4 linked regions of the Saccharomyces cerevisiae S288C genome follow. The gene in region 4 interacts genetically with the main gene of each other region. Each region holds a gene or a part of one and is shown on either strand. Other genes may lie near its edges. The genes, in order: LST4, VAC8, TCO89 and TOR1.

Region 1 (8,316 bases), on a different chromosome or scaffold from region 4:
TATAATGCGACACTCTTGTGTTAAGGGCCTGCAGTATTTTCTGAACTATGTTCGTTTGAGCTTGAATTCTCTTCTTTTGAAGCTGGAGAGTAGCAAAGACTTTCCCCTTCAAAATTGGAGCTTGCAGAATTATGAAGCTTTTCTGAATAATCGAGAGTAACTTTTGAGAATCCTCCAAGTGATATTTCGTCGTCAAAGCTCTGTCCTTGCGTGACGTAAGGGATGTGCCTACTTTCTTTTAGGTCTATTTCATCAAGAATATCATCTGTTTCTTTATCAGCAAACAAATATTTTTTGCTTTTATTTTGAGATTTTCTAGGATCATCTGGAATCCTATAGTCGACATAGAAATGCGCTTGTGATATTGGTGTACCTACACAGGGAGAATAGTTTTCTGTACACGTGGAGATATAGTTCTCAGAGTCTGTAGAAAATGGGTTACGGCTCTCTTTGCGTGAGGACAGCTTGTTTAGCAATATGCCTACTCGTTTTTCCTTATTCTTATCAATGAATCTTTTCCACATGTCAAGTACAAATCCTAGTTTGATGGAACGCAGGAATTTAGAGTACATATGCAAAGCATCAGAACCTAAGCCAAAGATTAGAAATACTAGGTAAGACATCAAAACATAAAGCCATATATTATAAATTGGTCTGCCAGGGTCAAATTTAATAATGGTATTCCAGATGGTGCTGGAATGGGTATTTTTAAAAGTATAGTGTCCTTCTACCTGCTGTAAATCTTGAACAAAGGTGTAAACAGAAAAAGGGAACATGACTAAAATAATAATGAAACAGAATATCAACAGCCTTGCGAACCTTGTCAGGTTTAAACCTGAATTGGTACAGTGTAAAATATCCCTAACGTCCTTGCGTTTTTTATAAAACACGAACAGTACTAAGGTGGCATAAACAGCGCCCACAAATGACCATATAAGCATCCACATGGTATACAAAACAGTGGTAATCCATGTCGGAGACAATAAGTTTTGGCAACCGTTGTAACGAGCGATACCATATCTAAATACTTGTAACAGATATGAAAATCCCATGACCATGACAGGTGTGAACAAGCTAATCACAAGGTCCTTGACGATTTTCGTCCATGATGAAAGATCCGGTAAAACACTATCTGCCTTCAAAATTGTATGCAAGTTGTAAATGATGTTGGTAACGGCACATGATATGCCAATATTCGCACCAACCTGCAACTTGATGACAATATCACACCAACCTTTACCATCCCATCTCGTGAGGAAATCGTCGTCACTCCATATTGCCGCATCTACAATACACGTTAAATTCATTGTAAGAAGCCATGTTATCAAAATGATTGCTGGAATATTCTTGGTATGTGAATGCCATGCTAAAGGGGGAGCTAATAGTATCACAGCTAGCAAACAAAGCCCTATTATTGCTGACTTGTATGACATGAAAATTTTGATAGTATTTTGCCTTTCCTACACAAATTTAATTGCCTCTAAAGTTAAAAAGCAATAAAATAGAATATGTGAATACTGCACAAAATGAATACTTGGGAATTCAGAAATTATTCTTACCTTAAGCATCCACTCATATACATATATATATATATATATGTCTTTTCAAAAGACTTCTGCCCAAATTGTGGAGAGAACTCTGCCTCTCCGTGATAACGGCCAAATGAAACGCATCCAATGATGCAATTATTGACAAAGTTTCAAAGTTTCCGCCATTATTCCTTCATTTACACATTGATAGTCGAGAAGTTTCCTAATTAGTGTCACAATGACAGAGAAAATTGTACCAGCGCTTCTAACGAAAATTAGCACCCATACCCAGAGTTCATAAATCTGGCAATGTGGTACAATAATATAGGATTGGTAACATTTCAATTGTAAAATGTTTAACGTTTAGAGAAAAGGGGAGCCAGAACGCTTCTGGTGGTGTAAATACGGAGAAGTCACCTTAAATAGTTTTGTTCTGATAATTGCATTTTTTTGGAAAGATTTGGCTGCTTAAAAGATTCAAGCAATCAAGAGAAACATTACAAGGCCTGCTTGGCCGGTCTACTAGGCTGAAATAATAAGTTTCTGATTATGGTTATCACGGTAAATGATTACGAAAGGGTAAAGCAACGAATGGTTGTTTTATGGTAAGAATACTTTGGCGAATCAACAAATTGAAGTTGCGCAATGTGCGATTCGCTTATGTATCAAAAAAAACTAAAAAATGAATAGAGAAAATCATATATATAAAAGAAAAAAATATCGTACACCTCTTAGGTAACTTGGAATATATTAAACATGTAAAGAAGGAGAAAACATTAACCTGCATTACAATAATGAACAAGAGATGAAAAAATCCGTAAAGCTTCTGAATCGCGAAGCTCACTATCTATTCCATTATCATCATATAACATCATTGCACTCTTTATACTATTTTCAACAAAATTAACGCAGTTTTCCAAACTAGTACTTAGCTTGCCAATCTTGCCACAGGAAAAGATTTTTCTGGTCTTCTGTTTCAACACGTACTTCCTTTTTCCGACAAAATTCTCATCATAGATATTCTGGTTGCTGTTATTGTTGTTATTGCCAGTAAACTCTCTTTTCAATGCGACATCCCTAATGTCCCTTGAACGTAACGATACTAATAGACTTCTTGTGTAATCCGCCTTTAACAGGTCAATCTTCATAGAATTTGTTATTCTGCTCTCTGATTCTTGACCAGCAGGACATGCTTGCAACTGGAAAAAATTGTTAAAATGGGTTAAATACATTGTATATTTCGGCAATAGTTCCAGAGGTTTATTCATCAAGCCATCATCAATATCAGAATCAGTAGTCAAAATATCCGCATAAGAAGAGTTACCTGGAAAAATTTCGTAAGTGGAATTAAGGTCAGCCAAAGAGGGCTGACATATTCTTTCAAAAGCCTCATCCAAAAGATCATCCTGAGAGATCCTTTGGCAATCTCTTTTCAACTCAACGTTCTTTAGTGGAAATTTATATGATATATTCTTAACCAATGGGGGTGCGTGAGACACATCTCCAACATTAGGAGAGCCAGGTGTGCCCATCCAAGGATACTCATCATATTCGCTGATAGACGGTGATTGTTGCGGAGTGGTTAGTGATAACCTGGAGGTTGCTTGCTGCAAAGAAGACGAACTTGAAGTCCTTTGCATATTTCCAGCAGTTGTTTGCAGCCTCTCCCACGACTCGTTGTGTTTTAAAGAAGGGCTTGGTTGAAAGAACTGAGAAATTGTTGGCCTTTTGTTGAACCAAGAACCGTACGAACCAGGTTGGCTTGAGATAGAAGACGATAGATAATGCAATGAACTACTCCCACTTTTGAAGGAAGATGGCTGAATAACTTCCGCTAAAGACTCACTAGAAGACACAGATACTGAAGTGTTCGAGTTCCTCCGATTGGGTATTTGCCATCCTTTCCTCAAAGAATGGAAATTGGGTGATCCAATGCTGTTAGAGCTCACATTACTGTTGTTGTAATTATGATTGCTATTATTTTCTGTGCGACTCAAAAGGTTGTCTGTTGAAGTCAGTGTGCTCAATTCCGTCTCAGGCTTATCGACAAAATTATTGTTAGACTTATTTCTTGATACAGCGGACGAATCCGATCTTATGTTTTCCCGCCGTATCGTTATTTGTCCCTTGTACTTTGGCTCCAATAAAGCCGATAAGATGAACAGTAACTTGTTAGCAACCACCATGTTTCCTGACAGGATTACGATCTTGGATGTCTTTAGTTCTCTTATAGTGTGCCTGTAATCAGATATAATCATTGCCATTAGGAGAGGAAGGAAGCCTAGTTTCGGTCCATCTTTGATTTCAATCCAATTAAATATACTTTTGAACCAAACGTGAACGAATTCTTTAAATGTCTCAGGGTAAAGGAAAAGCCTAGGAATCTCAGACATAGAACGTAAACCTGGTATGACTCTTTTTTGTAAAGTTTGCACCATTATTTCAATTTCCTTGGGATAATGCGTCCTGATGTCAATATTTGACAATTTTATGACTGAATTATTGCTGTAATTGCCAGTATTTTCTTGCATAATACGGTTTTTAGTCAAGAAACCAATGAGCATTTTTTGAGTCTGGGTCAACCATGATGAAATGGAAGACCACGACTCTGCAACTACGGGCAACAATATCCTCGGTATGCATAAGCTAATTGCGATGCGGTTGTATTGGTGTGTGTAATAGAAAATTCTAGTTATGAGTACCAAATCCGAGTTAGGAATCGTCCTTATCTTGTCGCACTGCGTCAAATCGGAAGATCTTACGGGAGAACCAAATATATATTCCTTCAATTCACTCGGCCGTATCTGCTCCATCGAATTTGAAATCTTTGACGTAGTGTAATCGAAGATATCACGGTAGTTGTTCCTACACGCCATTTGACCCGCTTCCTCAATGATCAAAATCCTGAATGCATACGTTTTTTCGTTAATAGACGTGATTTTATCAGTACCAAGACCTCCGTTGTTTTGTAACGTATCGATAGGACGACTATAAGGAATATCCCTCGAGCCGAAAAGCTTCAGTTTTAAGTCATCCGATATATGATCTAAAATGGGCGGAGAAGTCGTTGATAGCATTTCCGAAGGCTTTTCCACATTGACTGCAGTATCTAAAAGAGCTCCAGCAGCGGTCTTAGTAGTTCCTGTGCTTGCCGCTTTGCAGTATACAGGGACATTGGGAACTACGGAGGAAAAATCGGAATGCTCTGAGCTCTTCTCAAAACCAGACGAACTCGTCTTATTTCTCAGTAAATTACCCAACATATAAACTCTCCCTCTTCACCTTCTCTACAAGGCCACACACAAGACAGTTTTAACAGGCAAATGGTACTGGAGGCTCTCACCAATGGGGTTTAAGACGCTCCAAACACACGCTCTCCTTTTTTTCTTTATATATCGGTAGCAACGAAAGCTAGTCGCAGAACGTTACACACTAAAGCAGATCAATCAATCAATCCTGAGAACCTGCTTCGTTCAAACCATCCACTAGAAGAAACACGCACGTGTACCCAAAAATAGAGACAAACAAACAGACAAAAATAACAATGATTCCTACCGACTAAAGTAAAACAACACTCACGTAATAAAAAATCCTAGATACAACTCACTTGTATTCCTCTCTTCTTTGACCATCACTAAAGCTTCTCTCTTACTATATTCCTCAAATAAAAAAAAGTTGCAATGATTACTTACCAATGTGCCATAAACTCCGTGCACCACACTAGCCTTCGATTTGACACATCTCTAAGCTGAAACTGAGAATACTGTTGTAAAACAGGTATTGGCTGCTTCATAGTACACCCAATTGCCCACAACCCAAGTTAATCATAAGCTCTTGTTGTCGATGAATTGCTCAAAATGTGGCCATTCTTTCAATTTTGCACCTCTAAAACTGCTCCGTGGGTTGTGACAACAACCTTAAGGGTAATGGACTTTTTTAGAAAGACAAATGAGATGATTTCACCTACTGGTATATCATTTATTTATACACGACCGTTTTGACATTTCAGAGTTGCACGTTGGTATATCCTAATATTCTCACAAGCATCACAGTGAAGAAACGCAAGAAAATGGAAAAAATTCCCAGGTGGTTGTTGTTTTCTCTTATATCGTCGGTGCTGTGCATACTTGGGGCCCTGTGTGTGCCGTTGTTATCGGTTGCCTTCGATAGCAAGCGCAATAGCCAATCTAAGTTGGTCAACTATGGTCTTTCTCTAAGTGCCGGATCTATGATCACTACTTCACTATACATGCTATTGCCTCGGATCGAAAAATCAAACCGGTTCAAGGTTTTTCCTGGATTGCTTTTGGGTATTTGCCTCAGTTTTTTCTTAAACTACCTAGTCCACGCTTTCGCCAGCGAATCGTTGGTACACTGTGCTGATAGCGGTGACCATGCTACAGGTTCACATATACACTCCAAATCACATTCGCATTCGCACTCACACTCACATGCGGATTCGCATTCGAATTTTAGCAACGATCATGATTTAGAAAATGCTCCCTCTGAGCATGGTTATGCAACATCTTCTTCCAGTGTTTCTGAAAATGACCCGTTGATTACAAAGGATAGCGATAGACCCCAAATGAAAAAGAAAATGTCCCTAATTGACTTATTAACCAGAAGGAAATCAGAAGGCGAGTGTTGTGACCTAAACAAGTGCACTCCGCTCTTGCAATCAGAGCAGCCAGAATATATTGCATGTGTCCCACCAGTGATAAAGTCTTCTCAAAGTGAAAGAAACGTGCCACATGGATGCGAGGGATCAGAAGATAATGGACAATCCGATGACAAGGATCATCGTGGCCTTGTATGCGTGGAAAATAATATCGGTTACGATCTTGAAAACCTATCGTTGTACCGTAAGAATTTTCTTTCGAGCCGCCATCATCATTCCTCTGAATCGCCCGAAAATTATGGTTCCAACCAGTTGTCGCACTCTTTTTCGTCACCTTTGGGAAATGATGTAACTGAGAATCCGGCCGCATTGGCAGACACACAATACCATCCCGAAAATGGTTCATTATACCCCCACCATCATCACTTAGAGACCCCTTTTTCCAAATTACTGTCTATTGGTATGCAAACTTGTCTAGTCCTTGCATTACACAAATTTCCCGAAGGGTTTATTATTTTTTACACTAACAGGTCAGATTCGTCAAAGTCCTTGGGATTTTCCATTTTTTTAAGTTTGACGATCCATAATTTTGTCGAAGGATTTGCAATGACGTTACCATTCTACACTGTTTTCGAATCTAAATGGGTTGCCATTTTGATTACTGCCGTTCTCGGTGGTGGATCTCAACCATTAGGTGCATTGATAGGTTATTTCATCTTTAAAGGTAGTACTCCAAGGGATCACGAACCCAACATGGATTTTTTACTGAGCGTTACTGCAGGGTTCCTATTAGTAATTGGTTTACAAATGTTCCAAACTGGTATCGGATTTAGCGATGGACATCATCATCATCAAGGAGAAGGTGATGAAGAAATGAAACAGTCCCATAGCTCAGGCACAACTTGCTTGAAATGGTGCTGCACTGGCGTTTTGCTAATTCTAGCGAGTGCCCTTTTCACTTGATAAATTAAAACTACGTATATTCTTTCTATATAAGTCTTTTCCCATTAAATAACGGTGTATAATCACGATCATATATCATATATCATATCTACGATCATCGGCAAGATCAAATTCTTGTTCTGCTGTATGGTGCTCATCACCATAATCGGTTATCACGTTTTCCTCATTTTCCTCAAAGGGATTTTCTGTACTACTTTTAGGATGCACCTTGATGAAACCTTCTTCAGAATTATTTTCTACAGACTCTTTCACTGTGGTTCCCGAGTTTAGAGTATGTTCAACATTGCTATCCTCTAGTTCAAAAACAGTTTCTTCCGCATCACTGGGAATTGGAGCCTTGATGTCATCTGCCAAGGGTAATCTAAAATTATACTTCCCCCATTTGAAATAAAGACCAGTGATAACTAAAATGCAGAATACGTACACCATTAAAGCATAATTCATTGTTTTGAAAGTTACAGGCACTTGCGTTGGTAGGCAAACAGAAACCATAGATAACAAGAGCCACACAATAGAAACAATGTTGATGAACCAACCAAACTTATACCTGATTTTTACTGGCGCGCTTCGGATAGCTCTTCTTCTCGTAAACAGCACCAAGACTAACGGAATGAAAGTCGCAGAACAAAGACAGAGCACTGCAGCGCCTATAAAAGCATTAAATGCGGCCGTTGAAATCAAAGCTAGCAGACCTAAAAAGTATGATATTATCATACTCAATACAACAGAATTCTTGGGGACTTTTGACTGAGAATCCGGTTCGACGTAGGTCCATTTATCGTAGTATGGTATAGCCTGGTCACGACTAAAACTATATACCGCACGAGAAGATGTAGTAATCGAGCCAATTCCGGAAAACAGTAAGTTTCCTAAAATTAGGAGCACTAAAAAAAAAGACAAGACCACCGAATCAGTCGATTTTGTAAAAATGTTCACTATTGGTAGAACCTTATGATTGGTAAAAAGCAAATCATTATCTGGCAGGATTAACATTATTGGTATAAGAAAAATGACTCCAGAGAACGCGGATAACAATACCGCATTCGACATACCACGTGGAATATCCTTCTCAGGAACTTTGACTTCGTCAGCTAAAGCAGGTAACATACTGAAACCTTGTAACGTGAAATTAGACTGTTGGAATCCAATGATGAAGGAAAGAAATGCGCTTTTATACCCTGATAGATTATTATCAAAGTGAAATAG
Region 2 (5,646 bases), on a different chromosome or scaffold from region 4:
TGTAGTTGCTTGATAGTTGTTTGTAATTATAGTCGTACGTGTGGTATAGTATGCCATCATATATACTTATACATACATACATATATATATATATATATATATGTGTGTGCTCGAAATTATTGATTTGCGACTTCGTCGTAGTCATCGTCATCACTGACATCTATGTCACTTAGATCCTCGCTTAACTCATCTACGCTATCATCGCCACTGGAAACACCAGTGCCATCCATATCTTCATCAGAATCACTGTCCTCTTCTTGTAAATCACCGCCGCTATCACTGTCATCGCTATCATTATCTCCGCCAAACATTTGTTGGTACTTTTCCTTTGTAGCATACTTGTCTATATACTCTTTGATTTTTTCCTCATACAGTTTTTTATCTCGTAATTGCAATGTGGCAGCTTCGTTATTCAAGGGATCGCTACCATTAGGCTCCTTTAATAAACCTGGTATCATCCACTCCACTATATTTATCAGATCATATAAAGGCGACCATGTAGAGTTAATTACGTCCAAACATATGGACCCCGATGCGATATCAATGTTAGGATGGAATATCTTGTTAACGAACCCTATGCTTGGCGACTTGTATGGGTAATTATCCGGCAACTCTACATGTAACCTCCAAACCCCATTTTCGTAGGGTGTATCCTTTGGTCCCAAGAACTTTACATGAAACTCTTGCATGCTATCATTGATTAAATCCACTTGATGATCACTCATCAACAGTTTCATAACATCTGTCTCGATCCTTCTTTTAGAGCTACTGTTTCATTAAACGATATCTTTGAAGTTCATTGACATTTTCTTTGTTAGTGATCCTCATTCTATGGCATACTTTCTCAGAAGAGTGATATATAAATATACGTATATATCTTATCAAACATACCTCATCTTTCGTATTACGCTCCTTTCTTCCAATATTCCTTATGAAATACTATTAATATTTTGCTCTTACTTCTAAATTATATTCGAAAACTATCTCGCTTGATAATTACGGATTACACTATTTATCAAATGTGGCAGAACTGGAAATCCTACCTATGCTTTACGTTAGTGATACTTAAGCGCAGATAGCTGTTTCCGGTGCTCACCCTTTTTTTTTTTAATTCCACTGCTCCGGGAGCATTACCCGGTGGACGAAGCTCAACCTACTATTATTAAATAAGAAAACGTAAGAATGTATATTTACGCAGATGTGCACACGAGCATTGAAACAAGGATTAATGTGCCACTGATAGAATTCAGACTGCTGTGTGATTAAGAGGAAAACAAATTATCGTGAAGAATCGTTGATTCGCCTTTATATATTCTTGTATTCTTTAAGAGACATGCATTGCGATAATTTCCCCATGATATTCTTAACCTTATGAAGGGTCAGTCTACTGGAAGGTGCATGAAATATGAGTGAACGTATTTTCATTAGCAGATGAGAGACACCGGGATTAAAAAAACTATGTGAAGAATAGTGTTGATATATGATAAAATTATTGTGGAAATCAATAATTAAGAGGTTTTATAGTGTAGTGGTTATCACTTTCGGTTTTGATCCGAACAACCCCGGTTCGAATCCGGGTAAGACCTATTTTTTTCCCCCGCTCAGCTAACTTGTATTTTTAATAGATCTCCCACCATCAGAGGACGAAGAGAGAACTGTATTATCAATTGTGTTTTATTACAATATATTCTAAAAACGAAGATATAGATGTTATCTAGAATTGGTTTTTGTATGTAGCCCTTCTCTCCCGCTTTCTCACTTTTTGAACATTACCTCACTACAGTTGCCATTCAACAATGTAACGAACATTATCCGTAGGTAAAATTTACGACACTTCAAACTTCTAGAAGGAAATAGGCATATACTACGGAACAAAGACAGCCTCTTATTCGTTTTTAAGTTTTTTCTTCTTTTATTAACAAAAAAAAAAATAAAATAAAAAAAATCAATTGAAATTAGAATAGAGTAGAGTAGGTAGAAGTAATATGATGTAAAAAAAGGAAACAAAGATTAAAAAGATGGAAGAAATGGAGAGAAAGAAAATAAAACTTCTGAGAAGAAAATTTTGATAAAAATTATAATGCCTAGTCCCGCTTTTGAAGAAAATCAATGTAAAAATTGTAAAATCTGTTGAGTAATATTATACAATTCCAAACTTGCATCCTCTACAGGTTGATGTTCAGATCCTGTGTCATTGTTATTACTGTTGTTATCATTCGAGCTTGGATTGTTGTTGCTCCCCGGATTTTTAACATCAATTCCTGATCTTTGTAAACGCTCAAAGGTCACATCTGCCATTTTTCTCACTCCGTTAATGATGTCGTCATCATTTTTAACCAAATCTTCCACTTTATCATTATGACTTTCTAGCAATTGTAAAATTGTCCATAGCGCAATGTGTTCAAAGGTAGCATAGTCACTTTTCAAAAATCTAATCAGAAATCCACGAATGCCTTCATTCGGACGATCCCATGCTTCAATAATTTTTGTATAATTATTCACTCTTGAACATAGATTTGCCAAAGCAGCAGCAGCATTACCAGAAACTTCTTGGTTCTGGGAAAAAGTCATAGGGATTAAAGCATCTAAGATATTTGCTTCCAGTAGATCCAATTTGGAGACATCTGCTAGGGCTAAAATAGCAAAACATGCGGAAATTTCACTTTGAACACTAACAGGTGAATCTAGAGCCAGTTCCTTACATTTTTCGACAGCACCACTTTCGAAGAACTCTTTTCTGTTTTTTTCAGATGATGCAGCCAAATTTCTCAAAGTAGATACGGCGTGACATTGAATTTCTTCTGAATCCTTATAGTCCAACAATCTTACTAATGGTTTTAAGAAACCTGCATCAACAATTAAACCTTCATTTAGAGGGTGAATAGAAATGTTTCTAATGCATGCCACACTAGCCAAAACCAGTGGTATAGAATCACTTTGAATCAACTTTACCAAATGAGGCAACCCACCAGCCCTTACAATTTCTAATTGGTAGCTTGTATCGGACGCTAGGTTTCGTAAAGCCAAAGTAGCTTGACATTTTACCCTTGAAGATGGAGAATCCATCAGACTAACCAATTTGGAAACCAATCTTGGCTCAGTTTGAGCCAACTTCTTGCGATTGGCTTCATCCACTGCTATATTTGATAAAGCAGTAGTACAATAGTACTGAACATCAGGATCGGTGGACGACAGTAAAGATACCAATACAGGCACAGCACCTGCATTAACCAATTCTTTTCTATTTTCCTCAGAATGTGTCATATTTAATAATGCACCTGTAGCATTTCTCTGAACTCTTATATGTTTGGATTTAGCTAGCTTAGTCAATGGAATTAAAGCACCAGAAGTAGCAATCTTATGTTTATTGTCATCCCTTGTGGCTAAATTGGTAATGCATCCAACAGCATTACATTGAACTTCTACATTGTCACCCATCATTTGGTTTATTAATGGCTCTAAGCCTCCCATTTCCACAATTAATAATTTATTTTCATTATTAACGGCCAAATTACCCAAGGCTGCACAAGCGGCCACTTGAATCTGTGGATCTTGGCTTTGTAATAATATTAAGATGGGTTCCAGTACCTCTCTAGAGACCTGACGGACGTATTTTTCAGTAATTTCTGCGAATGCCAGAGCGGCGCTCCTTTGCAAATTTAGATTATCTGAATACACCAAAGTAGTTAGGGCCTTTAGTGGACCACCAGAGTAAAAGTCTAATTGGTCTTTATCCTCCAAATACCCTAGTAATAAAGTCACCGCTTCTCTTTCATTATCGGCAATTGGTGAGACACTGGCCTCGTCTGAAGAATCTTTCAAGCAACTACAACATGAACCCATAGTTGCAAATGTATATATAGTACAGAAGAAAGAACACCCTTATAGTTTGCTCAGTTCCTGTCTTCGTAGGATTGGAAATTGGCTAATTGCTTTTTATAGGGTTGTATAAATATATAATACCTTATTTTAACAACAAAAGGAAAAGTAGGAGATTGAACAGCGAGTCAACAAAAAAAAACAGAAAGCAAAGCAGACTCACACAAAAATTTGATCACAATGACAGCACTATTCTGCCTTGAATTGAGAACTAATATATTTCTAATAATGAATGATTGTATTATTATCAATTACTGGAAAGGGTTCATTTTTTCTTTCCACTCGTATTTTTTTCCTTTTCGTTTTGAGTCCTCCTTAAGGGCTCATTACCCGGGAAAGAGAAATTATTCAGATTTTTCTGTTATACCGTTACCTTATTATATAGATGTTCGCAGTTTTCATATTTGTGAGAGCCAACACATTATTGCATTACCGCTACAGATCCCACTTCCTTACCGTATGCTTATACGTATGTATCCAGTTTAGGCTAAAGTAATTCTTGGTTTACAAATCTAATAGCAGGGACCCGTCAGTGACGAAAAGATCACAGTTTTGGAACTTACGCAAAGAAGTTCTCTGTGAATAGGCGCCCTGTGGTATACCTATATCAATCAAAACAGCATCTTCTAGACTTGGCAAATTTGCAATTAAGTTGTTGATGGCAATCAAAGGCCAGCCAGAACAAATAATTCCTGTTGCTTCAATCCTGTCTGAAAAGAAAATATCTGGCATGCCGGATCCCGCATCAAACCCATTTGGAATATCCAAAGACCACACTTTAGTAGATCCTCGCTGTTTGTTACACCATGATATCATGCTTTTAATTCTGCTTTCAATAACTTCCGACGTCCCCGCCAGATCGCTCAATGTACAGTCATATCCCTGCATGGCATCGATGACTATTTCTACAGGGCTATTTAATGTTTCCATAGCAGATTCCAGCGACGATACACTATTAACAATTTTTCCGCCACACTTCTTGTAAATATCTGTTTGCTTTTTGACCATGGAATCCTGTAGTTCATTTTGAGAACATGTAAATAATGTTATGACACGGATATGCCCCGTTTGGCAAAGATGTCTACCCAACGCCAGAGCTTTCGCACCAGATCTGTTGGAATCTGAGGCTAGTATTACTACTAAAGGTTCCGGATTAGAATTTTGTAAACGTAAACGTGCACGGCCACCTAGTTTCTGCTTTAAGAAGAACGATGCGTTTACAGCAAAATTTTCTAGTAGCCCTGCCGAGTTAATACTGAAAAATTCGGACGTGATGCTCTCCATTTCTAGTAGTTGTACTGGTGTAGCCATAGGAATGTTCTGCTTAGTGTTCTTTGATCTGATGGTTGTTTGTTTATTTGCAGCTGGCAAGGATGTTGAGTTGGATCTTGACTGGCTGATGATCATCTGGCCTAATTTAGCTAGTACCTGATCCTTATCATTTATAACTGTACCTTTCGTTTTATCATTTATGGATGGAGAGTTAGTTGCAGAGTGAATTAAATGTGTAATATTCAAAGACTGAGTTATTGGTAGGTATTTGGGATCATCGATATCATCGACATCGTATTCATGTTCATCATCTTCCAAAACCAGATCATCTTGAGCATCTTGTTGCGGCTGAGATTGGTGTGTGCTTTGCTCATTTCTTGAAGAAATCTTGTTCCATGAATCTTTCTTTGCATCTGGAATAACCAATTCATCATTTTGATAATTATTTTGCTGCAATTGGGTTTGCTTTCTGTTATGTCCCTGTAATCTATTCTC
Region 3 (7,828 bases), on a different chromosome or scaffold from region 4:
CAACAGCTACACTTTGGTTTTGTATAACTTCTTTTTATTTTTCAATGCACGCGGCTTTAACAGTTCAAAGCTACACATCATACCCGTTGTAACGCTCATTACTGCCCCCCAATTATGAAATTCTCCACAATAATTTGGTGCTGAAAAGATTGTGACAAACTTTTTCCTGGCAAAGAATTCATAACCATCTTCTACGACCATATGTCCCCTAAGTATTAAATCGAATTTAAACTTAGCACAAAAATCAAGAACGTTCCTCTTAGAAAATGTGTATGAAACACCACGATCATTTTCTGACCAATCAGTTACTTGAGGGTCTGGGTCACTCCACAGTAAGTCTGTAACCAGCCCGCTTTCAGGAATATCCGTTGGTCTTGCGACTTTTTCGATTTGCTTCATGTCATGTAAATCGGGCGATATACCTCCATGAACGCAAAAGATCTTATCTTGAATAATTGCTGCTAATGGCAAAGTATTAAATACGTCAACGAACATTTTCCATACTTTCGAGCTCAATCGCCTTTTGCATTCATCATAGAAACCGTACATCTTTGTGACATTAGCAGATTCGTGATTACCCCTTAACATAAAAAAGTTGTCTTTGTACTTTATTTTGTAACATAATAACAATAGTATTGTTTCCAATGAGTTCTTACCACGGTCCACATAATCACCCAAGAACAGATAATTAGTATCAGATGGCACACCAGACAACTTCAAAATTCTCAATAAATCATTAAATTGTCCATGAACATCACCGACAACTTTGATAGGCGCTTGTAATCTCAAAAGAGTAGGTTGATTCAAAAAAATTTCTCTTGCATGATAGCAAATGAGTTGAATTTCCCAAGAATGGAATGGAAAGTTCTTTTTTTTGGACGTTTTTGTAATTTCTCTTGACTCACCCACTTGTAGTAATTTTTCGATCGCAACATCGATATCAAGACCTTCATTTGAAGAGGTATCATGAGAATACCGTCTCAAAAATATAGGCTTCTTGCTACTTTTAGGATTAGGTATCCCAGATGTTGGGGACGAAGGCGCACCAAAAGAACCTGCCTTAACCGAAGATGAAGGAGACTTAACTCTGGACGATAACCCTGAAGATTTTAAAAATGATGAGGTTGATGAGGAAGCAGACGTAGCGGATGAGTAGTAGGAGGAAAAAGAATATGAGGATGGAGAAGAATAATTTGATTCACGATAAGAGGGTGATGTCAGGATATTATTTGAGGTAGTGGCAGTGGTAGTAGAGGAAGTTCTTGCGGTATTGATCAGCTTCGGAGCAGTTGCTGATGAGGATAGGGCTTTAGCGACAGAAACATCGATATCTAGGTACAAGCTCTTCAAGTTTTCATCCTTAGTGTATATTTTCTGTTTATGGGCATTCTCACCAGGAATGAGCAAATTATCATTGCTAGCTCGTTTATTGTTGTTGTTTTTCCCGGCCGATGCTAAAGTGTTGTAATTGTTTATAGAATGTTTATTATTGAATTTCTTGATAGTAGGTAGAGACCTACTATCATCTGGGTCATTAGGTTCGTTACTGTTGAGATCATCTGAAGGTGTAGTTAATTGTTGCTGACTAGAGTTTGAATTAGTTGAGCAATTCGGTACTGCAAAGTTATTATTTGATCTGGACGGGCTTCTTCTCATAAATAGAATATAAGTGAAGGGAAAACAATATCTAACTTGAAAGGAAAATGGACTAAAGTAATAAAATAGGTTTTTTGTAAGGACAAGCTTGTAAATGAAACGTCAGAGACTCGGTAAAACAAGATTAATTTGAATGTAGTGATTCTGACCGATAGTATTTATAGTCCGTGAGGAATACTTACCAAAAAATTGCTAAAAGAATAGACACGTTTAAGGTATATTTACTAATGCCATTTTTTAAGAGATACGGAATCCAGCGAAATCGCTAAATTTGCGGTGGTTGCATTCAACGTTTTTCTTTCTTTTTGTTCGATAATTTATCATTTATTACGTTAACCGGGTTATACAAATACGCCTCGTTAGCTCGTATAGAAGTACATGTCCTTTTATAGTGCATAAACATAGTATGTTCCTTAAGTGTCCAAACATATTCGCTCTCTACGAACTTCGCGTTTTACCTCGAAAGCATTAGCTACTCTTTTAAACTGTGTGCTTCGTGTTGGTTGTTTTCACCTTTGTTGTGGCTGTGTATGCATGTAGCCCACATTTTCCATCCTGCGATTCACTGCCCTCGTAGTCGGCTGCAGAGAGTTAATGACGCGTTGGTGGTGCAAAGTCGTGCTGGAACCCATCGGGCCCCTCAGCAAGTTACGTGCATTCTGTGAAGCAGTGTGGCCAACGCTGTGGTTTGTACTCGTTGTCCTATTCTTGTTGATTGGATTAACATCCTTGTTAAATAAGTAACTTTCGCTTTTCCATATACCGGACAACACTGCCTGAATCTTTGCACTTGCAAGATGTGGATAAAGATCATCAAATTTTTTGTCATAGTTAGTAAAGAGCAAATCGTCCTCATCCTTATGATCTGTATCACTGCTAGAATGTGCGATTGACTGAGCATCGTTATGGCTTTTTTTCCTGATATTATTTGCATTTCCCGTTATTATAGGTTGTACTCTCAACAATGCTTCATCTAATGGGTTGTAAAATCTTTTTACATTAGAGTATTCATGGGATATTCTCTCAAACTCCCTTTTCGCATCAATGTTTCCTGCCATAAAGATAGAGTCACTACCGTCATTTTGTGAACTTAAGTCCATAATAGAATTCTCCCTCTGCAACCATAATTTTCTTTGTGTTCTTGATTCTGCATCAATCCCATCTGATTTAAGGAACTGGGCGAAGCTATTAAATTTGGCACCTGAGTTGGATTGTCTGTTTGCATCGCTACCGGAGTTCGTACTAGATGTAATATGTTCGTTGGACAATGGAGAGGCCGGGGCTGCAGAATTTTTGTTGAGATCGTTGGATCTCAGAAGTAGATTCTGATTACCTTTCTTGTGAAAAATATTATTCATTCTTGAACCATGGAAGCTTTCAGGAGCAGCTCTCCTCAAATTATTGGTTAAACTCGATATGGAGGTCGAAAAGTTGTGCTGTGGTACATTATTATCTTTACTACCGATGTTAGCAATGGTGGGGAAAGTAGACTGAGAGTTCGGTATATTTTGGCCAAGTTGAGATCTTCCACCATTTTTCTTGCTCTTGCGCAATTTGCCATCATCCAGTTCATTAAAAGTATCACCTGAAGCCATATGCTCACCCGAGTCATGAATTTCATTCCCAAGCGAATTTTGGATGGATGATGAATTTTCAAATCTACGTTCAACTCCAGTCGACTGGGAGAGAATCATATTAGGCGCATAATTTTCCAGTAAGCTATGCCCTTCAATATCCTTGGTACCAGCGGAAGAAATATCATCAGGCTTGATTAGATCTTCTTCTTCGTTTAATAATTTGTGTTGTTTAGAACTTTGTCTCCTAAGAGACATAAAGCTCGAGTCGCTTTTTCTTGATGAATTACTCCTAGGGGCATCAATGTGATCTTCCTGATCAAACTGTTCATCTGAATGACTTGGTTTTTGATTACTTTTATGTGCAGCTAAGGTATTACCAACATCAAGAATTTTTTTTTCTTTATCATATGGTGCTTCTGATATATTATCGCCCGCTTTAACCAATGAGGCCCTCAAATTTTGAGAATGGCTGGACAAGTCATCAATATCAGCTTCCTTCGTCACCTTTGATTGCCCCTCTTCATTGATTACACTTGTTGCATTCAGTTTTGTTTCAATTGAGCTTGGAGATGTTTCTCCATCTTTCTGATGTTCTATAGAATGGCTTGATTCTCCGAAATAGTTATTGGAAGATAAATGAGGTAATGGTAAGGATACAGCTCTATGATTTTCCTTTCCATCAGTACCTGATTTATCTTCTTCTTGTTCATCTATTGAATCCGGGGATTGTAATTCATTCTGATTTAATTGCTGCACATTCTTTTTTTCTTCAGGCATAACATGCTCGGCTATTACTTTATCATTATTCACCTTTCCATCTTCAATGTTGTCTTCCGAAAAACATTCCACCTCCTCGTCAGTAGTAGATTCACTCTTTTTAGATTCTTGCGCATCTCGAAGACTCAGAACAGATTGGGTACTTTTACTTCTTCGTGGTTTCAGGCCGAAACCAGCAGTTCCAGTATTAGAATGACTGCTGTTCTTTGGACTGAGCAGCGTATTATGCACCGGACTATGAAAGGATGCTGATCTTTTTCCTTGATTGGACTTTACTCTTGTTAAAGCTGTCATATTCAACCCACTAATCGTTCGCTTTCTGAAAAGTGCATCAGAACTCTTGCATTTCTGAGAAACGTTGTGCTTATTAAAATAATCATTATCCAGGGTGCCATCATGTGTTAAAACTCTACGCAAACCTTTGAAGCTTGCGTTACTCTTTGCTCTCGACCTAGTCGAAAACTGTCTAAATGGCTTTGACTGGTGTGATACTGTTGACGCATTAAGAGATGTTACATCAGTGTCTGACTTCAAAGTCCTTCCTCGATGAACCATAATTATAGTTACTCAGTAAGGATATATGATATATCCCAATATCTATGTTTACCTGACCCGTAAATCGATAGAATGTGCTAGTCCATTAGATGTTTGGATTCCTTAATCATCGTGCCAGCCAAATCGCTATACCATCCGCAACTAGCTATCCTTGCGGTTACCCGTACAAGAGTAAGCTCGGTTGATAAAAACAACGTTGAATTAGTCGTTTTTATATCCATATAGATGTATATATATGTATAGATGTGTTTGTTCGCCTCATTACAGTTATACTTTGGTTGAGAATAATATTGCAGTGTTTTGCGTTTATTGAATGGCATTAGTGTTATTTGAATATTTTTTCTCCCATAGTAGTAACTCTCTAGTCAGGTCGTCCATCATTGATAGACTTTCATTATAACCGTTGTAAATCGTATCAACTTTTTCTACGAAATGCTGGTTTTCCACGAATCGTACAAATTCCTCTCGATCAGACTGATCTTCACTCAATTCCCATTGAGTTCTAGAAATGAACTCCAAAATAGCGGATACCCTTCTTCTCATTTCGTTTAATGAGGTCCTTTGAGGGGGTAATCTGGGCTTTACTGGTTTGTCGGTACCTATATCAGCACTCCTTCTATTTTGGTTGGTGTCTGAACTTGTATTGCTTCGACGAGTTCTGTTGCCCTTTCTTGCTGGTTTGGAAACTCTTTTAGAACCCCTCGAACTAGCTTTCCTTGAATCATCCTCAGAAGAAGATATTGAGGTTAGGGGTAGGATGGGTTCATCAGTTTTCTCAGTGTCTTGCGCCGAACCCGTAGAAGATTCCTTTTCTTGACTAGCTTCTTTTTCCACATCATTTGTTTTTTCCATTGATTGCTCTTTCGATGGTCGTAGGCTTTCTTTCATATCATCATTTGTTACCGAGTCCGGTTTGCCTTCCGTTAGCATAACATCCGTTTGTAATCGAGTGGTGCCGTTGTGATTGTCGGTATCACCTTGGTATATATCAGCATCATTTTCATAACTTTCAGGATCTTCTTGATGTGATGTCCTCCTGCTTTCTTTCAAGGCTTTTTCAAGCATTCTTTGATATTGCTTTTCTTCTCTTGCCATGAAAGTTGCCCTTTTTCTATCCAGTAGCTTCTTATCACTATCTCCAGGATCCAGTGAATACTGATCGGTAGAAGCATCATCCATTGAATTCCTCCTCCTCCTTCTACTTGACCTCGTGTTGCCGTCCTTGGCTAATGCTACAGCCGAAGCTTCATCTTCTACTTCATCTTCTTCGTCGCCGATATCGTCGACGTTATCATCGGTATTGCTGGTATTTCTGGGACTTTTCTCTGCTTCATTGGCGGCATGAGATTTACTTGCAGCTGCACTTCGTGCCTTCCTTCTTGATTGCCTCCTTTTCTCTTGCACAGGTTTATAGATTGACCTTGCTTCGCCAGTATCTGTGGTAAAGAGCTGATGTAACTCCGGTCTGCATTGCTCGCACCAATATTTATCAGGTGCGTTGTCTTGAGTAATACTCACACAATAACCGTGCTGCCAGGAACTGCACTGCTCACATTGAATGAAAAATCCGGAGTCATCTGGAGTATCGAGCTCTCCACAGATACAGCGAGTTTCGCCTTCCTCTTCCTCGACTTCCCCCTCTCCACCTTCCATAGGAACATCTTCTTGTTTTACACTTTCTTCCTGTACACTTCCAATCGCCGCCGTTGTTGTCGCTGTTGATGTTGTTGATATAATGTCTGTGGACCCACTAGCAATGACTTCCGCTTTCTCCATATCTTCACTACCCACAACAGGGCCTTTAGGCACTATTGCTGTCGATTCCATTACTCTTCTCTATACTCCTATATGTTTATGCTATCTTTTAGTAAGGTTACGCAAAGTAAACTTCGAAGGAAACAAACTATTGATGGTCTCTGTTGTGAACTTTGTACCCCTGTAAATACCCAGTTACATAAAATTCATATACGAAAACCAACAAGAACAAAAAAGAAAAAACTAATCAACAAAACGTTATTTTTTGATCATGCAGTGAAAAGCCACCAATAGAAAATTGAAAATAGAAAATGCAGCTGATTGTGCTGTGCGGTTTACCTAGTTTACCCATAGCGGAGAAATTTTTCAAAACTAATTGATTACGTTAAAGCCTGTCTGCGACGTGCTCCGTCCTATTTCCGCAAGATGATGAGGGTAATGCCCTTTATAACTGCTCAAAATAAAAAATAACCGCCGAGGTCTTTTTAATTATCAAGGTTATAAGAAGTGCCAGAAGTGGGTGAACTTAACTCAATAAAAAAATATTAGTGACGAACATCTATCAAAAATTGAAAATTGAAGGTACTGCTCAGAGAAACTGAGTCTGGTCTTGCCTACATCTTTAAGAGGAATTTGTTCTGGTGTATTATTTATACAGCCGATAACATTGATGATACTCTCAGGGTCATTTTCACGTAGTCGTGCTTTGGTGAGTTGTATACTACCCTACGTACTTTTCACCGCTTATGTTTTACACTGGGGTCTGAATGATAGATTTAAGCCTAGCATACACATCGGCGTCTCACAAAAAACGACGCTGCTGAAAAAAAAAATGTAAGAAAAAAAAAGTGGAAAAATATGAGCATGAAAAAACTTCTGCTAGCGGACCTCATCGTTATTTAGCTTCTCATTCCCGCCAATTGAAGTTGCTCATTGAAGAAGAATAAGTGATTAAAATGAAGGACTTGTCTCATTATGGTCCTGCGCTATGTGTTAAATTTTACAATGATTATGTTCTAGCTGGTTATGGGCCTTTCATCCATGTCTATGACTATCATTCGGCTACGTTGATTAACAAATGTAGGCTATTTCACTACAATAAAGTTCATGGACTTAGCCTTTCTAGTGAAGGGAAAATTTTGGCCTATGGTGCAAGATCAGTAACAATAGTGGAACTTGAAGACGTTTTAAAGAAAGAGTCATTGGTGGATTTCGAAAGGATTAACTCAGATTGGATTACCGGTGCTACATTCAGCTTTGACAACTTGCAAATATATTTGTTAACATGTTATAATAAAGTGCTAATTTGTGATTTAAATTGTGAAGTTCTTTTTAGGAAGTCTCTTGGGGGAGAAAGATCTATTCTATATTCCGGTATAATTAAAGTTTTCGGTCCGGATAAAGTATATGTTAACGCTGGTACTGTAATGGGCGGTGTTATCATTTGGGACCTGTTCTCGGAGACAAAAATTCATAACTTACTGGGTCATGAAGGTTCTATCTTTTAT
Region 4 (11,066 bases):
AAAAACAAAAAATCTATGTACTGACGATATAATAGCGTACATTATCATATTATTCTTACTATTTATCATACTCATCGCATCTACTGTTCTCGAGAACGTGTAAAGTGATTTATGCCATTGAATGAAAAATTTTGTTAAGGAACAACTAGAAATATAATAGTGTCTTGGTGGATGTGGCAAATGAGGTGTGCGTGATAAAGAGCTACAAACTCAAAGTAATAACAGCTATCATCCATTTTTATAGCAATATTTGAAAATGGCTGCTCGTCCACAACAACCTCCTATGGAAATGCCGGATCTGTCGAACGCCATTGTGGCACAAGACGAGATGGGTAGACCCTTTATTATCGTGAAGGATCAAGGTAACAAGAAGAGACAGCACGGATTAGAGGCCAAGAAATCACATATATTGGCTGCTAGATCAGTAGCTTCTATTATCAAAACTTCGTTGGGTCCCCGTGGGTTAGATAAGATCTTGATTTCACCTGACGGTGAAATCACCATCACTAACGATGGTGCTACAATTTTGTCCCAAATGGAGCTAGATAATGAGATTGCAAAGTTGTTAGTACAACTTTCCAAATCTCAAGATGATGAAATTGGTGATGGTACTACTGGTGTTGTTGTTCTGGCAAGTGCGCTACTTGACCAAGCATTGGAGTTAATTCAAAAGGGTATACATCCAATCAAAATCGCTAATGGATTTGATGAAGCCGCCAAATTAGCCATTTCCAAGTTAGAAGAAACATGTGACGACATTTCTGCGTCAAACGATGAATTGTTCAGGGACTTTTTATTGAGGGCCGCCAAAACTTCTTTGGGCTCCAAAATTGTTTCCAAGGATCATGATAGATTTGCTGAAATGGCTGTGGAAGCCGTCATAAATGTCATGGACAAAGATCGTAAAGACGTGGATTTCGATTTAATCAAAATGCAAGGACGGGTTGGCGGATCTATAAGCGATTCAAAATTGATTAATGGTGTCATTTTGGATAAAGATTTTTCTCATCCACAAATGCCTAAATGTGTTTTACCAAAAGAGGGCTCTGATGGTGTTAAGTTAGCTATATTAACGTGTCCATTTGAACCTCCTAAACCAAAGACCAAGCATAAATTAGACATTTCTTCAGTAGAAGAATACCAAAAATTACAGACTTATGAACAAGATAAGTTCAAAGAAATGATAGACGATGTGAAGAAAGCGGGCGCAGATGTTGTTATATGCCAATGGGGGTTTGACGATGAGGCCAATCATCTACTTCTACAGAATGATTTACCTGCCGTAAGATGGGTAGGTGGCCAAGAACTAGAACACATTGCCATTTCCACAAACGGTCGCATTGTTCCAAGATTTCAAGACTTGTCTAAGGATAAATTAGGTACATGTTCCAGAATTTACGAGCAGGAGTTTGGTACTACTAAGGATCGTATGCTGATTATCGAGCAAAGTAAAGAAACAAAAACTGTAACATGTTTTGTTCGCGGTTCCAATAAAATGATCGTGGATGAAGCTGAACGTGCATTGCATGACTCACTATGTGTGGTACGTAACTTGGTTAAAGACTCACGTGTAGTTTACGGTGGGGGAGCAGCCGAAGTGACTATGTCCCTGGCTGTCTCTGAGGAAGCTGATAAGCAACGTGGTATTGATCAGTATGCATTCCGTGGATTCGCCCAAGCGTTAGACACCATTCCAATGACTTTGGCTGAAAATTCTGGTCTTGATCCAATCGGAACTTTGTCTACATTGAAAAGTAAACAACTGAAAGAAAAGATTTCCAACATTGGTGTCGATTGCTTAGGTTACGGGTCTAATGACATGAAGGAACTATTTGTCGTTGATCCATTTATTGGCAAAAAGCAGCAAATTCTTTTAGCTACTCAATTATGTAGAATGATTTTAAAGATTGATAACGTCATCATTAGTGGTAAAGATGAGTATTGATTTTGTATAAATAAATAATAAAAGATAAGTTTTAATCACATATCCCACAATTTTTTTTCTCAGATCAGCATTTGGGGTTACTTGATTGTACATATACGTGTATATAATCAGTTGTATACGTATATTTAAATGAAGTGAGGGGCGTTTCAGTTATTTGCATTTGTTTTTGTACCTTTTTCCTTATAAGATGAGTCATGACTCAATAATCAAACCATGTTGAAAAGGCTGAAATTTCTAACAATTTCCGGACCATATTCCTCATAATCTTTCTTAGTGTGACAGTAGCCTTTGAATTCGGCTGTTTGTGCCAGCAGCGAGCCACCAAACCAGACAGCGTTTCTCTGCTTCCGATGAGAAATCACGGAAACATCTACACCAGTCGATTTAGTTCCACTTAACAGCTCACTTTGTGCGATTCTGTTATTTACGATAGACTTTAGATCTCTTTGTAAACGACGTCCAAAATCTTTGAACATGGTAGACCCACCTGATAGTACAATATTGTTGTATAAACCTTTACGGACGTCAATAGGGCAAGCCTGGATAGTTTGATCCACTACCGTGGGTAAAGGAGTCAAGAAGTCTGAGGATGCAATTTCTGGATTGAAGAAGATTTCAGGTGCTAAGAATCTTTCGTAACCAATATCTACGACTTTTCTCCTTGTCTTTTCTTGGTTTTCCACCACAAATTGGGCAAATTTAGAAGGATCTTTATCGAATTTGTTAAACTCCTTTACAATATCTGGACAGACGTAACAGTATTCTTGCTTAATCTTTTCGGCAGTTCTCAAGGAAGTGTCTGCTTCACCACGTTCTCTTAGCAAGGATTGGATGAACAATGTGATGTCTCTACCGGCTATTGGAATGTTTTTAATTGCTGAGCCAATGACGTAACCTTCCGCCACTGGGATGACGTGGGTGACACCATCACCAGAATCTATAACAGTACCAGTTAATGATCTATCCGTGACTTTTGAAGAGGTCCATGACGCAGCCAGAGCCAAAACTGCTTGCACAGCAATATATAGACCAGCACAATTAAATGATTCAAAAAAAATCTCCGCCACTTGCTCTCTGTTTTCTGGAGGATTCAGTGGTGGTTCGGTCAATAGGAAAAAATGATCTTCAGGCTCTGTTCTTAAATACTTGAAGATGGAATTTTCCCAGAATCTTTCCATGTGATCCCAATTTTCCACTTGACCGTGTCTGATTGGATAGCTCAAAGAGTAAGAGGGTCCTTGGGATGCTACTAAAGCCTCATTTCCAATATAGAAATCCAAATCTTCTGTACCTCTTTTACCGGATAAATTATTAGACAGCAAACCACCTGTTGCACCATTGAAATTGGTTGCAGAGGTGGAATTTCCAAAGTATGATGCTTCATTACTAACTGCTGAGGGCGCACCAACGCCCGAGGACTTCTTTGTATTTGAAGGTGCAGCTGTGGCTATTGCAGTAGGGAAGACCCAGGAGGGAGAATCATTACCGGCGAAACCGAGCTTGGTCAGCCCGGTACCATTGTCCATGACAACAGCGGGATTGTTTAAGTATGACATTGAATCCTAATTTCTTGCTCAATCGTGAGGCCTTACGGTAGGGCCAATTCTTGATTAAACTACTCTCATATATTTTTGTTTGAAACTTTTGAAAAGGGGTTCTCGCCATTTTGAAGCCGCGGACAGCCGGGTGACTACTGAAAGTCCTTATCGAAGGGTCTTCTTGAGCTTACGTTAAAAAAGAGCCATAGTAGCTTCACGAGAGAGTCATTGGTAAAGTGAAACATACATCAACCGGCTAGCAGGTTTGCATTGATATGGAACCGCATGAGGAGCAGATTTGGAAGAGTAAACTTTTGAAAGCGGCTAACAACGATATGGACATGGATAGAAATGTGCCGTTGGCACCGAATCTGAATGTGAATATGAACATGAAAATGAATGCGAGCAGGAACGGGGATGAATTCGGTCTGACTTCTAGTAGGTTTGATGGAGTGGTGATTGGCAGTAATGGGGATGTAAATTTTAAGCCCATTTTGGAGAAAATTTTCCGCGAATTAACCAGTGATTACAAGGAGGAACGAAAATTGGCCAGTATTTCATTATTTGATCTACTAGTATCCTTGGAACATGAATTGTCGATAGAAGAGTTCCAAGCAGTTTCAAATGACATAAACAATAAGATTTTGGAGCTGGTCCATACAAAAAAAACGAGCACTAGGGTAGGGGCTGTTCTATCCATAGACACTTTGATTTCATTCTACGCATATACTGAAAGGTTGCCTAACGAAACTTCACGACTGGCTGGTTACCTTCGAGGGCTAATACCTTCTAATGATGTAGAGGTCATGAGACTCGCTGCAAAGACTCTGGGCAAGTTAGCCGTTCCAGGAGGTACATATACCTCTGATTTCGTGGAATTTGAGATAAAGTCTTGCTTAGAATGGCTTACTGCCTCCACGGAAAAGAATTCATTCTCGAGTTCGAAGCCAGACCATGCTAAACATGCTGCGCTTCTGATTATAACAGCGTTGGCAGAGAATTGTCCTTATTTACTCTACCAATACTTGAATTCCATACTAGATAACATTTGGAGAGCACTAAGAGACCCACATTTGGTGATCAGAATTGATGCGTCCATTACATTGGCCAAATGTCTTTCCACCCTACGAAATAGGGATCCTCAGTTAACTAGCCAGTGGGTGCAGAGATTGGCTACAAGTTGTGAATACGGATTTCAAGTAAACACATTAGAATGCATCCATGCAAGTTTGTTGGTTTATAAGGAAATCTTGTTTTTGAAGGATCCCTTTTTGAATCAAGTGTTCGACCAAATGTGTCTAAATTGCATAGCTTATGAAAATCATAAAGCGAAAATGATTAGAGAAAAGATTTACCAGATTGTTCCCCTATTAGCATCGTTCAATCCTCAATTATTTGCTGGCAAATATTTGCACCAAATTATGGACAACTATTTAGAGATTTTAACCAATGCTCCAGCAAATAAAATACCACATCTCAAAGATGACAAACCACAGATTTTAATATCGATTGGTGATATTGCATATGAAGTCGGGCCCGATATCGCACCTTATGTGAAACAAATTCTTGATTATATTGAACATGATTTACAGACGAAATTCAAATTCAGAAAGAAATTTGAAAATGAAATTTTCTACTGCATCGGAAGATTGGCAGTTCCCTTGGGCCCCGTTCTAGGTAAATTATTAAACAGAAATATACTGGACCTGATGTTCAAATGCCCTCTTTCCGACTATATGCAGGAAACGTTTCAAATTCTGACTGAGAGAATACCATCACTAGGCCCCAAAATAAATGACGAGTTGCTTAACCTAGTCTGTTCAACCTTATCTGGAACACCATTTATCCAGCCAGGGTCACCAATGGAGATACCATCGTTTTCGAGAGAAAGAGCAAGAGAATGGAGAAATAAAAACATCCTACAGAAAACTGGTGAAAGTAACGATGATAATAATGATATAAAAATCATTATACAAGCTTTTAGAATGTTAAAAAATATCAAAAGCAGATTTTCGTTGGTGGAATTCGTGAGAATTGTTGCACTTTCTTACATTGAGCATACAGATCCCAGAGTAAGGAAACTAGCTGCGTTGACATCTTGTGAAATTTACGTCAAGGATAACATCTGCAAACAAACATCACTACACTCTCTGAACACTGTATCTGAAGTGTTATCAAAGCTTCTAGCCATTACGATTGCGGACCCTTTACAAGATATCCGTTTAGAAGTTTTAAAGAATCTTAATCCATGTTTCGATCCCCAGTTGGCACAACCAGATAATTTGAGACTCTTGTTTACTGCACTGCACGATGAGTCGTTCAATATTCAGTCAGTAGCAATGGAGCTTGTCGGTAGGTTGTCTTCCGTAAACCCTGCATACGTCATCCCATCGATAAGAAAAATACTACTGGAACTGCTAACAAAATTAAAATTCTCAACTTCTTCTCGAGAAAAGGAAGAAACTGCCAGTTTGTTATGTACTCTTATCAGGTCGAGTAAAGATGTTGCGAAACCTTATATCGAACCTCTTTTAAATGTTCTTTTACCAAAATTCCAAGATACCTCTTCAACGGTTGCATCAACTGCACTGAGAACTATAGGTGAGCTATCTGTTGTAGGGGGCGAAGATATGAAGATATATCTTAAGGATTTGTTTCCTTTAATTATCAAAACATTTCAGGATCAATCAAACTCTTTCAAGAGAGAAGCTGCACTTAAGGCCCTTGGTCAACTTGCAGCCTCATCTGGTTACGTGATAGATCCTTTACTCGACTATCCCGAATTATTGGGTATATTGGTGAATATATTGAAGACAGAAAACTCTCAAAATATTAGGAGACAAACAGTCACTTTGATAGGTATACTGGGAGCTATCGACCCATATCGCCAAAAAGAACGTGAGGTTACCTCTACTACCGATATATCTACAGAACAGAACGCCCCGCCTATCGACATTGCTCTTCTCATGCAGGGCATGTCTCCTTCGAATGATGAGTATTATACCACTGTTGTCATTCACTGCCTGCTAAAAATCCTAAAAGATCCATCCCTATCATCTTACCACACTGCCGTGATCCAAGCGATTATGCATATTTTTCAAACCCTTGGTCTAAAATGTGTTTCATTCTTGGACCAGATCATCCCAACTATTTTGGACGTAATGCGTACATGCTCTCAGTCACTATTAGAATTTTACTTCCAACAGCTTTGCTCTTTGATTATTATCGTAAGGCAACACATAAGACCTCATGTCGATTCTATATTCCAGGCTATCAAAGATTTTTCTTCGGTTGCTAAGCTACAAATAACGCTTGTAAGTGTTATTGAAGCAATATCAAAGGCTCTGGAGGGTGAATTCAAAAGATTGGTCCCTCTTACTCTGACCTTGTTCCTTGTAATTTTGGAGAATGACAAGTCTAGTGACAAGGTCCTCTCCAGAAGGGTATTGAGACTGTTAGAATCGTTTGGTCCTAACTTAGAAGGTTATTCGCATTTGATTACACCCAAGATAGTTCAAATGGCAGAATTCACCAGCGGGAACCTACAAAGGTCTGCAATAATTACTATTGGCAAACTGGCCAAGGATGTTGACCTTTTTGAGATGTCCTCAAGAATTGTTCACTCTTTACTTAGGGTACTAAGTTCAACAACGAGTGACGAACTCTCAAAAGTCATTATGAATACTTTAAGTCTACTGCTAATACAAATGGGCACATCCTTTGCTATCTTCATCCCTGTCATTAATGAAGTTTTAATGAAGAAACATATTCAACACACAATATATGATGACTTGACAAACAGAATATTAAACAATGATGTTTTACCCACAAAAATTCTTGAAGCAAATACAACGGATTATAAGCCCGCGGAACAAATGGAGGCAGCAGATGCTGGGGTCGCAAAATTACCTATAAACCAATCAGTTTTGAAAAGTGCATGGAATTCTAGCCAACAAAGAACTAAAGAAGATTGGCAGGAATGGAGCAAACGTCTATCCATTCAATTATTAAAAGAGTCACCCTCCCATGCTCTAAGAGCTTGTTCAAATCTTGCAAGCATGTATTATCCACTAGCCAAAGAACTTTTTAATACCGCATTCGCATGTGTTTGGACCGAACTTTATAGCCAATATCAAGAAGATTTAATTGGGTCATTATGTATAGCCTTATCTTCTCCCTTAAATCCACCAGAAATACATCAAACATTGTTAAACCTGGTAGAATTTATGGAACACGATGACAAGGCATTACCAATACCAACTCAAAGCCTGGGCGAGTATGCTGAAAGATGTCACGCCTATGCCAAAGCGCTACATTATAAAGAGATTAAATTTATTAAAGAGCCTGAGAACTCAACTATTGAATCATTGATCAGCATTAACAACCAGCTGAATCAAACGGATGCTGCAATTGGTATATTAAAGCATGCCCAACAACATCATTCACTTCAATTAAAGGAGACATGGTTTGAAAAATTAGAGCGTTGGGAAGATGCACTACATGCTTATAATGAACGTGAAAAGGCAGGTGATACTTCCGTGAGCGTTACACTCGGTAAGATGAGATCCCTTCATGCCCTTGGCGAATGGGAACAGTTGTCGCAATTGGCAGCTAGAAAGTGGAAAGTTTCGAAGCTACAAACTAAGAAGCTAATAGCTCCCTTGGCAGCTGGTGCTGCGTGGGGGTTGGGAGAGTGGGATATGCTTGAGCAATATATCAGCGTTATGAAACCTAAATCTCCAGATAAGGAATTTTTTGATGCAATTTTATACTTGCACAAGAATGATTACGACAATGCTAGTAAGCATATATTAAACGCCAGAGATTTGCTTGTGACTGAAATTTCCGCGTTGATCAATGAAAGTTATAATAGAGCATATAGCGTTATTGTTAGAACTCAAATAATAACAGAGTTTGAGGAAATCATCAAGTATAAACAATTGCCACCTAATTCCGAGAAAAAACTTCACTATCAAAATCTTTGGACAAAAAGACTGCTGGGCTGCCAAAAAAATGTCGATTTATGGCAAAGAGTGCTTAGAGTAAGATCATTGGTAATAAAGCCCAAGCAAGACCTGCAAATATGGATAAAATTTGCAAATTTGTGCAGAAAATCTGGTAGAATGAGGCTAGCAAATAAGGCATTGAATATGCTACTAGAAGGAGGCAACGATCCTAGTTTACCAAATACGTTCAAAGCTCCTCCCCCAGTTGTTTACGCGCAACTAAAATATATTTGGGCTACAGGAGCTTATAAAGAAGCATTAAACCACTTGATAGGATTTACATCCAGGTTAGCGCATGATCTTGGTTTGGATCCGAATAATATGATCGCGCAAAGTGTCAAACTCTCAAGTGCAAGTACTGCTCCGTATGTTGAGGAATACACAAAATTATTAGCTCGATGTTTTTTAAAGCAAGGTGAGTGGAGAATAGCAACACAACCGAACTGGAGAAACACAAATCCGGATGCAATTCTTGGTTCTTATCTATTGGCTACACATTTCGATAAAAATTGGTACAAGGCATGGCATAATTGGGCCTTAGCTAATTTTGAAGTAATATCCATGGTTCAGGAAGAGACTAAGCTCAACGGAGGTAAGAATGATGATGATGATGACACGGCAGTTAATAATGATAATGTGCGGATTGACGGTAGTATCCTAGGAAGTGGTTCTTTGACTATTAATGGCAACAGATACCCGCTAGAGCTTATTCAAAGACATGTTGTTCCAGCGATCAAGGGCTTTTTTCATTCAATATCTCTATTAGAAACAAGTTGTTTGCAAGACACGTTGAGGTTATTGACTCTTTTATTTAACTTTGGTGGTATTAAAGAAGTCTCACAAGCCATGTATGAAGGCTTCAATTTGATGAAAATAGAGAACTGGCTTGAAGTCTTACCACAGTTGATCTCTCGTATACATCAGCCAGATCCTACGGTGAGTAATTCCCTTTTGTCGTTGCTTTCTGATTTAGGGAAAGCTCATCCACAAGCTCTCGTGTATCCTTTAACTGTCGCGATCAAGTCTGAATCTGTTTCAAGACAAAAAGCGGCTCTTTCAATAATAGAGAAAATTAGGATTCATAGTCCAGTCCTGGTAAACCAGGCAGAATTAGTTAGTCACGAGTTGATCAGAGTAGCCGTTCTATGGCACGAATTATGGTATGAAGGACTGGAAGATGCGAGCCGCCAATTTTTCGTTGAACATAACATAGAAAAAATGTTTTCTACTTTAGAACCTTTACATAAACACTTAGGCAATGAGCCTCAAACGTTAAGTGAGGTATCGTTTCAGAAATCATTTGGTAGAGATTTGAACGATGCCTACGAATGGTTGAATAACTACAAAAAGTCAAAAGACATCAATAATTTGAACCAAGCTTGGGATATTTATTATAACGTCTTCAGAAAAATAACACGTCAAATACCACAGTTACAAACCTTAGACTTACAGCATGTTTCTCCCCAGCTTCTGGCTACTCATGATCTCGAATTGGCTGTTCCTGGGACATATTTCCCAGGAAAACCTACCATTAGAATAGCGAAGTTTGAGCCATTATTTTCTGTGATCTCTTCGAAGCAAAGGCCAAGAAAATTCTCCATCAAGGGTAGCGACGGTAAAGATTATAAATACGTTTTAAAGGGACATGAAGATATAAGACAAGATAGCCTTGTTATGCAATTATTTGGTCTAGTTAACACTTTGTTGAAGAATGATTCAGAGTGTTTCAAGAGACATTTGGATATCCAACAATACCCGGCTATTCCATTGTCGCCTAAATCTGGTTTACTAGGATGGGTACCAAATAGTGACACATTCCACGTTTTGATCAGAGAACACCGTGATGCCAAAAAAATTCCGTTGAACATTGAACATTGGGTTATGTTACAAATGGCCCCCGATTATGAGAATTTGACTCTTTTACAAAAAATTGAAGTATTCACGTACGCTTTAGATAATACAAAAGGCCAAGACCTTTATAAAATATTATGGTTAAAGAGTAGGTCGTCAGAGACATGGCTAGAACGTAGAACAACTTATACGAGATCTTTAGCAGTTATGTCCATGACTGGTTATATTCTGGGACTAGGTGATCGCCATCCAAGCAACCTGATGCTAGATAGAATCACCGGTAAAGTTATCCACATTGATTTCGGCGATTGTTTTGAAGCTGCCATCTTAAGAGAAAAGTATCCAGAAAAAGTGCCATTTAGACTAACTAGGATGTTAACATACGCAATGGAAGTTAGTGGAATTGAAGGCAGTTTCCGAATTACTTGTGAAAATGTCATGAGAGTCTTAAGAGATAATAAAGAATCATTAATGGCGATCTTGGAAGCTTTTGCGCTTGATCCTTTGATCCATTGGGGATTTGATTTACCGCCACAAAAACTTACTGAGCAAACTGGAATTCCTTTGCCGTTGATTAATCCTAGTGAATTATTAAGGAAGGGGGCAATTACTGTCGAAGAAGCGGCAAATATGGAAGCAGAACAACAAAATGAGACCAAAAACGCCAGAGCAATGCTTGTTTTGAGACGTATTACAGATAAATTAACGGGCAATGATATCAAGAGG

Evidence for each region.
Region 1: mutations in TOR1 (region 4) and LST4 together harm fitness more than expected from each alone (negative genetic interaction), as found in Saccharomyces cerevisiae (4 studies listed by BioGRID, with this or other methods).
Region 2: mutations in TOR1 (region 4) and VAC8 together harm fitness more than expected from each alone (negative genetic interaction), as found in Saccharomyces cerevisiae (6 studies listed by BioGRID, with this or other methods).
Region 3: mutations in TOR1 (region 4) and TCO89 together harm fitness more than expected from each alone (negative genetic interaction), as found in Saccharomyces cerevisiae (4 studies listed by BioGRID, with this or other methods).

What each region holds. Positions count from the first base shown.
Region 1 is NC_001143.9:113,195-121,510, forward strand, and holds LST4 (Lst4p), read right to left. Parts: upstream 4,793-8,316; coding exon 2,306-4,792; downstream 1-2,305. Other genes in the region: STE3 (Ste3p), read right to left, coding at 21-1,433; Zn(2+) transporter ZRT3, read left to right, coding at 5,599-7,110; TPO5 (Tpo5p), read right to left, coding at 7,186-8,316. UniProt on the Saccharomyces cerevisiae protein: Involved in extracellular amino acid uptake. Required for the trafficking of the GAP1 nitrogen-regulated general amino acid permease from the Golgi to the plasma membrane.
Region 2 is NC_001137.3:127,022-132,667, reverse strand, and holds VAC8 (protein anchor VAC8), read right to left. Parts: upstream 3,844-5,646; coding exon 2,107-3,843; downstream 1-2,106. Other genes in the region: E2 ubiquitin-conjugating protein UBC8, read right to left, coding at 117-768, 892-896; YEL014C (uncharacterized protein), read left to right, coding at 4,060-4,365; EDC3 (Edc3p), read right to left, coding at 4,384-5,646. UniProt on the Saccharomyces cerevisiae protein: Functions in both vacuole inheritance and protein targeting from the cytoplasm to vacuole (cvt). Involved in the formation of nucleus-vacuole junctions (NVJs) during piecemeal microautophagy of the nucleus (PMN).
Region 3 is NC_001148.4:201,985-209,812, reverse strand, and holds TCO89 (Tco89p), read right to left. Parts: upstream 4,566-7,828; coding exon 2,166-4,565; downstream 1-2,165. Other genes in the region: PPQ1 (protein-serine/threonine phosphatase), read right to left, coding at 7-1,656; CTI6 (Cti6p), read right to left, coding at 4,872-6,392; tRNA (34-2'-O)-methyltransferase regulator RTT10, read left to right, coding at 7,277-7,828. UniProt on the Saccharomyces cerevisiae protein: Component of TORC1, which regulates multiple cellular processes to control cell growth in response to environmental signals. Nutrient limitation and environmental stress signals cause inactivation of TORC1.
Region 4 is NC_001142.9:555,658-566,723, forward strand, and holds the start of TOR1 (phosphatidylinositol kinase-related protein kinase TOR1), read left to right. Parts: upstream 1-3,758; coding exon 3,759-11,066. Other genes in the region: chaperonin-containing T-complex subunit CCT5, read left to right, coding at 257-1,945; ARP3 (actin-related protein 3), read right to left, coding at 2,152-3,501.